Regions from separate parts of the Mus musculus genome. Here regions 2 and 3 are each reported to be linked to region 1. The links are microRNA targets in miRTarBase. Many come from high-throughput screens and were not tested one by one. Region 1 holds a microRNA gene; each other region holds the end of a gene's coding sequence.

Region 1 (3,204 bases):
AGCAGTTGGTACCTGGAACATTCTAGGGCCTGCCCTTCCTTGGGTTTCCATGTTGCCAGCTCCCAGGGCTAGGCTTAAAGACGTACCCATTGTTGGTGCTGAAGGGCTAGGCCCGTACGGGAGGTCATTTTAGAGTGGATGTATCCAGGGTCTAATATACTATCTGGGGTGTGATGAGCACCAGGTTTCATGGTGGCTCTCTTTCCAAAAGGATCTTTACCTCAAAGGACTCCAGAGGCTACATCATTGTCTTGGAACTGGTCAGTGGCTGGAGCTCTCTCCAGGACAAGTGCTTGGAGGAAGAACCTGGACAAGCTTCCCTCCCCATACTGTTGACTGGATCTTGTAGCTACCGTTAGCCACCATCATCGCCATTGTGTGCCTCTTAGGAGCATTTCCAGGAGGTGATGCCAGCTGGGGAAAGAGCCTCTGTCCCACAGGTCAGTTTCCAGAACACCTACATGAAGCTGCCCGTGGCGTCTTTTCCCCGTATGACACACTGCATGTGACCAGTCTCTTGCTGCCCTGCAGCAAGGCTAGAAGCCTGTGTGAACTCTTGCCAAAATCAGAGAAGGGATTCTGATGTTGGTCACACTCCAAGAGTTTTAAAATGAGTGGCGAACACAGAATCCATACTCTGCTTATGGCCTAAGTCAATGGATCCTGACCCTTACTGGAGAGCCCTCCCTGGCGTGCTCGTGCGGGGCAGCCATACACACTGGCACAAGGGGACCCTGCGGGATCTCCTTCCGCTGTTCTTTCTCTCCTCCCTCCATGTTTATCTTTGAAGCATTACTTGCTTGGTTTATAGGACTGGATGGTCAAGCAGTTCTTGCTATGACATCACCGTGGGGGGAGGGGGCAGGTGACAGGGCGGGGATGCCAGGGTCGTGGGGCTGCAGTGGTTGGGTGGGCCCAAGGAGGAGCATCTCTGGATGATGCAGTCATTGCCTCCTCGCTTCTGGAAGGCATCGTCTCTGGGAGGGTGGTGTGGTATATGCGCAGGGTCTCAGCATCTCCCTATCTCCAGCTTACAAAGGAGAGATAGAGTAAGCAGAGTTCTGCACCCACTTCTGCCCCGAGTCAGCTCCTCGCTACCTGGGTCTCAAGGTTGTCTGGGAAGGCTTTAGATATTCTTGGAAGGTGAAAGGGTGGTAGATTGCACTGGGGAGGTGATGGAATAATTGCTTTCACGTGGTGGAGGGTGGCTCCTCACTGAATGGGGAGTTATAATCTCTGAGGGGCTCCAGGATGGTTCTTCTGGAAACTCAGCCATCGGCCTCGTTCTGAGCATCCGAGCCTCTCCGTGGTACTCGGAGAGAGGTTACCCGAGCAACTTTGCATCTGGAGGACGAATGTTGCTCGGTGAACCCCTTTTCGGTATCAAATCCCTCCAGGGAGGCCACCTCAGGGAAGACCATGGACTCATCTCGCTCTGGGGTATGGGACGGATGGTCGACCAGCTGGAAAGTAATTGTTTCTAATGTACTTCACCTGGTCCACTAGCCGTCGGTGCCCGCTGCAGCCTGCGCCCAGGATGTCACAGCCTCAGCTCAACACCTCTGCTGGTACTTGAAGGGAGATCGACCGTGTTATATTCGCTTGGCTGACTTCGAATAATACATGGTTGATCTTTTCTCAGTATCAACGCTCAGCTTGGAGAAGCTCTTGGAGTTGCAGCCCCTGTGGGGGTGGGGACAGCATGGTGCTTCTAGGTTGCTGCCTCCGCGGGGAACTGGGCTGGGTGGAACAGGCTGTGTGCTGCCTGTGTCAACCCTACTCACCATTTATATGCAATCCCCCCCTTCCCCCCAGGACAGCTTCAGGTGGTGATTCCAGCTCCAGGGTTGCTGCGGTCAACACTGGGTACTTGAGGAGAGGTTGTCTGTGATGAGTTCGCTTTATTAATGACGAATATAACACAGATGGCCTGTTTTCAATACCACCTGCCACTCCGGTCACTCGGCAGTACATACCAGGTGTCACACCACTGCCCGGTAGGTAAATGCATGGACTCTGTATGACGCTTGTCACCCCCTCTTCACTGAACCTCAGCTCTGAGGAGCCTCCTGGGATCGCACCAACCTTGTAGGCTGGGCCACGAAGCATTGGCCAGATGTGCAATGGATGGCTGTCCACTTTCCATGCCTCTTTCCCGCCACAACAATGGGTGTTTGTCCCTGTCTAAGGCTTCCACCGAGGGCTGCATGCTCAAATGCCCTGTACCCTGGGTGCTTCTCAATACCATGAGGGCTTGGAGGGGCTAGCATGATACTTAGGGAAGAGCCAGGCCAGTTGGTTACACGTGCAGTTCCTAGTATCTGAGGTGAGATTGCCCGTGACGGGTTTCCATTCTTAATGCTGGTACAGTGCATGGTCACCTCTCTTTATCATTGGCTCTTACTGTGTGAGCATGGGTGTCAGGGGAGGGACACACTTTGCTGACCCACTGGACACCACTGATGGTCAGGCATGTAGCTGACTCATCCTGACCCAGAGCCTCACATCTCCTGAGGTGGGGGTTGGGAAGTCCAGAAGGGCATCTTAGAGGAAGAAGCATCCTAAGTAGAGTCCGTGCTGGTGGTACCTGAGCTAGCTTGTCTCTGAGACGTTTGTTTTCTATCTGATGACTATCCCACAGCCTACTTCTCTGCACCATGTCCTACCCTAGACCATTTCTACTTTGAGGCATTGATGCCAAGAACTGAAGCCTTTGTGTTGGTTGACTCTCTAGTCTGTATGTGAGACCATCCCTTGGCCTGTCTTGTCCTCAGTGCCACCCTGTTGGAAATAGCACAGAATGTCCTCCTGAGTCTACAAGGCAGTGATACCCAAGCTCTGTCCCTGCTTCACGAGCACAGGGGGCCCAGTAGGGATTAGCCTGCACTTCTTTTTTTTTTTTTTTTTTTTTATTTTTTTTTTTTTTTTCATTTTTTTTTTATTAGGTATTTAGCTCATTTACATTTCCAATGCTATACCAAAAGTCCCCCTTACCCACCCACCCCCACTCCCCTACCCACCCACTCCCCCCCTTTGGCCCTGGCGTTCCCCTGTACCGGGGCACACAAAGTCTGCGTGTCCAATGTAGCCTGCACTTCTTCATGTTTCCTCCAACTTAACACTCTGGCTCTGTCAGACTCCTGTGAGCTTACTGTAGAGGCTTGACCTAGAGTCTCAAGGACCCCAGAAAGTACCTGATCACAC
Region 2 (3,000 bases), not on the chromosome of region 1:
GATCCAAACCTGGGTCCTGTACAATAGCAATGGGTACTCCTACCTGTTAAACCATTTTAGGCCCAAAGAATGCTCTTTAATGAGCTATCTCCAAGTGATTGTGGTATATATTGACATTGGAGAACCACTGTCCCATTTGCTCACATATTAGTATAGAAAGCATCACTTCATTGGGTCATTTTCACATTTCTCCTTTTTATTTCTACCCACATTGCCATATGCATGCTTTCATTATCTTATCTATGTATTTAAAGAAGGCTTTCCAAATCCCACTGTAAACATTAAAGATGAGAACAGGCTAAAGCAGACCTCTCTATTCTATTGGTCTTTTTATTTAGAGTCTAGAATATCTACCTAGAAGATTTCTTCTTTGCATGAATACAGCTTCTAAAACTACTCCCATGATGTTCTTTTCAGTTCATATGAACATAGGCTACTTAAAAACATGGTATTTTCAACTTAATGAAAAGTACTTATTTCTCAATTGGGAATAATAAACCAAGACAGTGTGAGACTGATCCTGGAAGATATTTCTTTATCTTTAGTTGTTGTTTCCTTTTATCTATCTATTTATTTAGATTATTTATTTTATTTATTTTATCTATCTATCTATCTATTTATTATTTTTGAGTCAATAGCTCTCTACGTAATCTAAAGGGATATATCCTAACACCTGACACTGGAAGACATTTTAAGATTTATTCATTTATTATATGTAAGTATATTGTAGCTGTCAGACATTCCAGAAGAGGGCATCAGATTTTGTTACAGATGATTGTGAGCCACCAAGTGGTTGCTGGGATTTGAACTCAGAGCCTTCGGAAGAGCAGTCGGTGCTCTTAACCACTGAGCCATCTCGCTAGCCCTGGAAGACAGACCATGAAGTATAGGAGCAATGAGATGAGTCTATAGTGTTGTGTATCTCTAAACACATGTTTGTGTCCTGTTTTGTGCTAATGGGAACTGAAAAGGTTTGAAGCTATGGCAATTCTAGTTAATGTTTTAAGGTCCATTCCTATTTGGAATATGTAAATAAAATAGTAACCACTGTTGGACGTCAAAATTTTTCATCTCGTAAATCTTACTTTCTATCCAGGTTTTATTCATTCATTCTCTAGTTGCTTCCTAGAACTACTTTTAATCTTTCAACATTTTATTTATTCAGTCTCTGTGTATATGTTTATACATGTGGGCACATACGGACAACCTCCAAGAAACAGTCTTGACCTTCCACTCTATAGTTTGTGGAAATCAAACTCAGCTCACCTGGCCTGGCTGTGAGGGCTTTGACCCACTGAGCTTGCCCTGGAGACTTTCAATCTAGATCAGGCCTGGATTACTAATATAGCATCTCCAACGGCTGTCAGTTTATACAGTATAGATAAATTACTTTTTAAACATTGAAGTCACATACCCATCCTGCTCAGTAGCTTCTTGTGTTTTCCTTGTTACTGTAAAATTCAGATATCACAGATATCAGACACTTAAACTCTTCCCTGGAACTTGAGGCTAAAATCTGTCTCCATTTTTTTTCTTTTTCCTTTTAAAGATTTATTTATTTAATTGATAATGAGTACACTGTAGCTGTCTTTAGACTCACCAGAAAAGGGCATCAGATCCCATTACAGATGGTTGTGAGCCACCATGTGGTTGCTGGGAATTGAACTCAGGACCTCTAGAAGAACAGTAGGTGCTTAACCACTGAGCCATCTCTCCAGCCCTGTTCATTCTTTAGTGAACTTTATTTTATACTTTTTCCTAGGAAGCAAGTTCCATTTTTTTTTAGTATAAATGTAATTTTTTGCCCTTAGTGAAAAGCTCAGGATACAAGAAAAAGAAACACAGACACTGGAATCCCTAACAGCAGAAGTTTATTTACATTGAAGTGAAGTTAAGGTATATATATATATATATATATATATATATATATATATATATATATAATTTTTTGAAACAAGATCTTGATATACATCCCTGGCCTGGACCTCCCTATGTAGACAGGCTGGCCTTAAACTTGCAGCAATCCTCTTGCCTCTGTTTCCCAAATGCTGGGATCACAGGCATGAGCTACCTTGCCTGGCTGAGTTACAGAATATTTTTAATTCATGCTGAGAAAACAGTAATACTTCAAACTTACATGTATATATTTGATAATGAATACAAGAGGTGCTGGGAAAGACTTTGGCATACACAACTATTAAAAGCAGGTTATCAGAACACTTAAACACCATTAGAGTCATGTTATCAGAACACTTACATATATCGCCTACGTATACATTACATCAACATCATAGACACCTCATCTTCTAACTCCTCACGCTATTTGAATAAATAGCATTCAAAGATAAACGTTAAGACTGGGGAGTAGAGAAGAAATACAGACGTGGTGGGCATCACAATATTTCAAATCCTACATATATGAATACAACAATAAAATTAAGAAACAGTGTTTCAATTTTTGTGTGAAACAATATTCAGCAATGTTTAGCGCATGAGAAGACACTGTTTTGGTCCATCCACTCTCTCCAGCTTTTCAAAGTGTTTTCTGGCATTGCGGATGTTGATCAGAGTAGCTGCAGAAGCTGAGGGTAGGGTGGGGAGACACCCAACAGAGTAAGAAAGGCAGTCAAAGGTATGTCTGTCTAGTAAAAGCAAATCAATTAAAAGATCCAAATCCTTCAGTGTGTGTCAGAGCATAGGAGCAGAAAGCCTCAAGCTATCAAGGATTTATATTTGTAAAGCAGATTTGTACATATCCTAAACATAAAACTTCACAATCTTTTGGTTTGAGACTAATAGAATAAACCTCAATAATTTATGTTACCTTTAAATATTAACCTAATATAAAACCAGGAGAAGAGAAATAATTTAAATACATGGGGGATATTTTGCAGACACGGTAAGAACCTTTAGTCTAATGGCTGTAGCAGATATGGCTTCCAAGATATGGAAATAACAAATACTGCCCCTTAATACACATAACAGAAATATGCGGCTGTA
Region 3 (3,000 bases), not on the chromosome of region 1:
CATGAATTAATAATAATGAGGTAGAAAGAATTTTCTTCCTCACATTGCCAAGGAAACCTCTCAGCCACAATTGAAACACAGGATGTGTTTTTAAAACATCTTTAAAACATCTCCCAACTCCTGGAAGATTAAGTCCATTTGTATAACCTCTGTCAGACTGGAGACAGCTAGCATTAGTTATCTCCTCAAAAAAATAAAAAAATAACAACAAAAGTTCATTTAAAGATGAACTTAAAATTCAAAGAATTTAAAAAAAATCCATCTTCCATAGCTGAGCAATATAATTTAAAAATAAAAAGATGAAAAAAAGAAAAAAGAAAAAAGTAAAAACACCACCAAAATTCAATAAGATCCAATTTCTGGTCTTCAAGATTTCTTCACCTATTAAGAAAAAAAACAGAAACCTTCCCCCATCTTTATTATCTGTATAATAAAAGCATACTGTATGTAAAAATATAAAGTGTTTTATGTATATAATATCCATATAATATATACTAACAGGCTTATACACACACAAATGTATAGAAATAAAACATTTGGGTAACTATTCTTTTAAAATATAATATAAAAGCTTTTATATTTGGGTTCAATATAAAAATAGTGAACTTACTCTTATACCAAAGTACCATGAAGTTAATGCTACTAAATTTTACCCAGTCACAAAATCAAGATGAAATCCATATAGATGGATGTATTGATAGATACATATATTTGTCAATGTATATGGTATGTTTAACAATCATCGTCAGGGAGTGTTTAACCAAAATAGGTACAAGTGTATAGTTACAGAGTAACTACAGAGTGGGGCAGCGAGCTGAAGAAGGCAGAGCAGCATTACAGCCATTCTGAACCAGCTCGGGTGGGCAGGCGGGCGGGGGAAGCACAGATATGCTCACGGGAAGCACAGAGATGCTCAGGATGCTTACTCTTCTTCCTTTAGATCAACAGAGCATCACTGGCATGGCATTCAATGCTGGCCCTGCAAAGGCTTCCTGATAACTGATGATTAGAGCTAAAGACTTCACTCCAGTTGGTAAAAGGGTAAATTTGGGGGAGATAAAATTTCACTTCACAATGAATGGTGCATTTACCATTTAAGAATTTAAAATTTAAAAAAAAAAAGTTATTTTAATACACAGAAATGAGTTTCAAAACCAGCCCAGTAACAAAGTCACTTTGCTTCTTATGTAATAAACACTACAGACTTTCTAGGCTAAATCTTGCCAAATACTATCCAAGACAAAACTAAAATCAAGACTTAAAAAAAAGTGGACACCTTTTACTCACACTTAATACTAGTCAATTTTCCAGGAATTTTTTGGGCAGGGAATATCCCCAAATCTAAAATGAAAAAAAAGGAAAAATTGGGATCTTACATTAGTTATTCAATCTGAAACATCTAATAGACTTACTAAAAGTCAGCTCTCTGTGGCCTCCCACTCAGTCACAGAAACAGACTCTCCGAGTGGGAAGGCACCTGCAGGGCCACTGAGACAGTTCACTCATTTCAGCAATGATGCCTAACACAGTAAAGTTTCAACTGCTTATCTCAGTTAAAAATACAGTTCCAAACTGCAGTTAGGAACATCATGCTATGGACCAGGAGCACCCTTGAAAAAAATGAACAAGCTCTAGAAATATTCTCTGGGAAACTCACATGGGGTCTGCACGTTCACGAGGCTTGCTTGTTTTTTGATTTTACAAACATCTAATGTTTTTTACTAATGGGTTATTTTAAAGGCACCTATATAATCCCTGTTTTTGGTACTATATTATAAAAAGCAAATCAAAGACCAAAAAGTCATTTTCTAATTGTTTTGTAATGTTCCCTTTTATATAGACCCAATCCTAAATATAAAAGATAATTCTATCATACCCAGTAACCTGACATTATAAACTGACCAGGGTGAGGCAACTATAATTTCTAAAAATGAAACAATTTTGTGGGTTTTCATTCTGTCAAGCTGTGTCAGGGGTTTTAAAGAAATTAAAAAACAGGGGAGGGAAAGACTATGTTAATGCAGTCACTAACACATTCTAAACACCTTTGTGCTCATAGAAGTCCTGAATCACTGTATTTATATAAATAATAACTGAAACCCAATCTTCCACAGTGGAAGAAGTTTTTACTCTAATCAATGACTAGCTCAATCTACCAACCAGAAATACCTAAGTCCTTCAACGCTTCACTGTGTTTCTCATTAACACTGCCCTCTCTCTCAAGTGATACAAATGACACTTTGATAGATGTTAGTTACACTGAGTTACAACTGTGAAATTTTCAAAGTTAACCTTCATTTTGTCATCGTTACACTGCCTCTGTGGAGTTTTCAGTCTTTCTGTAATTTCGGATTTCCTCAGGTTTTTCATTTTTGTAAGGCAGGATCTTAACATGTTGCCTGGGCTGGTCTCAAACTCATGTGCTAAAGTCATAATCCAGCCTCAGTGTCTCAAATAGCCAGGACTACAGGCACTGTGAACACACCCAGCCATTTTTTTAAAAGGATAAATAGTACGACTACATATAGTAACAACAGCAATAAGATATAGTAATATAGCGAAAGCTGCCCATTTTAAGTAGGACAAGGAAAAGGAAATTAAGGTAGTATTTCTTTTTCATTGCTCTGAACAGCCTTATTTTCAGGGTCCCAGCTCAGAATCAATGTAGAATAGTCATAGTTAACATTCTCCAAGTTCATTTTCAGAAATATGAGCTGTTCTATATTATCAAAGTCCATGTTCATGATCTGCTTTGGATGAAAGTGGCTATTTGTGGTAAACATGCATTCAGATTGCCAACTACACATGGGGCAACTCAGATACTGAATGGCAACTTGGGTCAAAGCTGGCCATATGCTCACCTTCCTCTGCCAGTAAACCAAAGGGTCATCACCTCCTGAGAGCTCTGAATACTTCTCTTTGAAGTACTCATCTACTACTGCTACCGCAGCGGGGAGCAAGGAGCTTTTGCTCCCAACAGCAACACTGCCTGCGGCTGAG

Evidence for each region. Region 1 holds the annotated microRNA mmu-miR-410-3p (AAUAUAACACAGAUGGCCUGU, at 1,914-1,934, shown strand). A microRNA usually pairs through its seed, bases 2 to 8, with sites in the 3' UTR of a target mRNA and lowers its output. Matches are read on the target gene's strand: a 7mer-m8 pairs with bases 2 to 8, a 7mer-A1 pairs with bases 2 to 7 and ends in A, and an 8mer does both.
Region 2: miRTarBase lists Rragb as a target of mmu-miR-410-3p. Seed matches in the 3' UTR shown: 7mer-A1 at 1,938-1,944.
Region 3: miRTarBase lists Zbed6 as a target of mmu-miR-410-3p. Seed matches in the 3' UTR shown: 7mer-A1 at 2,080-2,086.

The regions. Positions count from the first base shown.
Region 1 is chr12:109,741,851-109,745,054 of GRCm38, forward strand. It overlaps Mir410 (microRNA 410), which reads left to right and starts at 1,865; the gene lies at 1,865-1,945. Mirg (miRNA containing gene) reads left to right here. Exons shown (of 8, transcript NR_028265.1): 4 at 212-440; 5 at 1,507-1,568; 6 at 1,816-1,997. It overlaps Mir541 (microRNA 541), which reads left to right and starts at 559; the gene lies at 559-648. It overlaps Mir409 (microRNA 409), which reads left to right and starts at 1,308; the gene lies at 1,308-1,386. It also overlaps Mir412 and Mir369.
Region 2 is chrX:153,170,798-153,173,797 of GRCm38, reverse strand. Rragb (Ras-related GTP binding B) reads right to left here. Exons shown (of 11, transcript NM_001004154.2): 11 at 1,855-2,582. The coding sequence ends at 2,485. Among named protein-coding and RNA genes, the nearest start is that of Rragb, 32 kb to the right of the region's middle.
Region 3 is chr1:133,654,058-133,657,057 of GRCm38, forward strand. It overlaps Zbed6 (zinc finger, BED type containing 6), which reads right to left. Exons shown (of 1, transcript NM_001166552.1): 1 at 1,822-3,000. The coding sequence ends at 2,598. It overlaps Zc3h11a (zinc finger CCCH type containing 11A), which reads right to left. Exons shown (of 18, transcript NM_001276767.1): 2 at 1,288-1,341. Among named protein-coding and RNA genes, the nearest start is that of Zbed6, 5.3 kb to the right of the region's middle.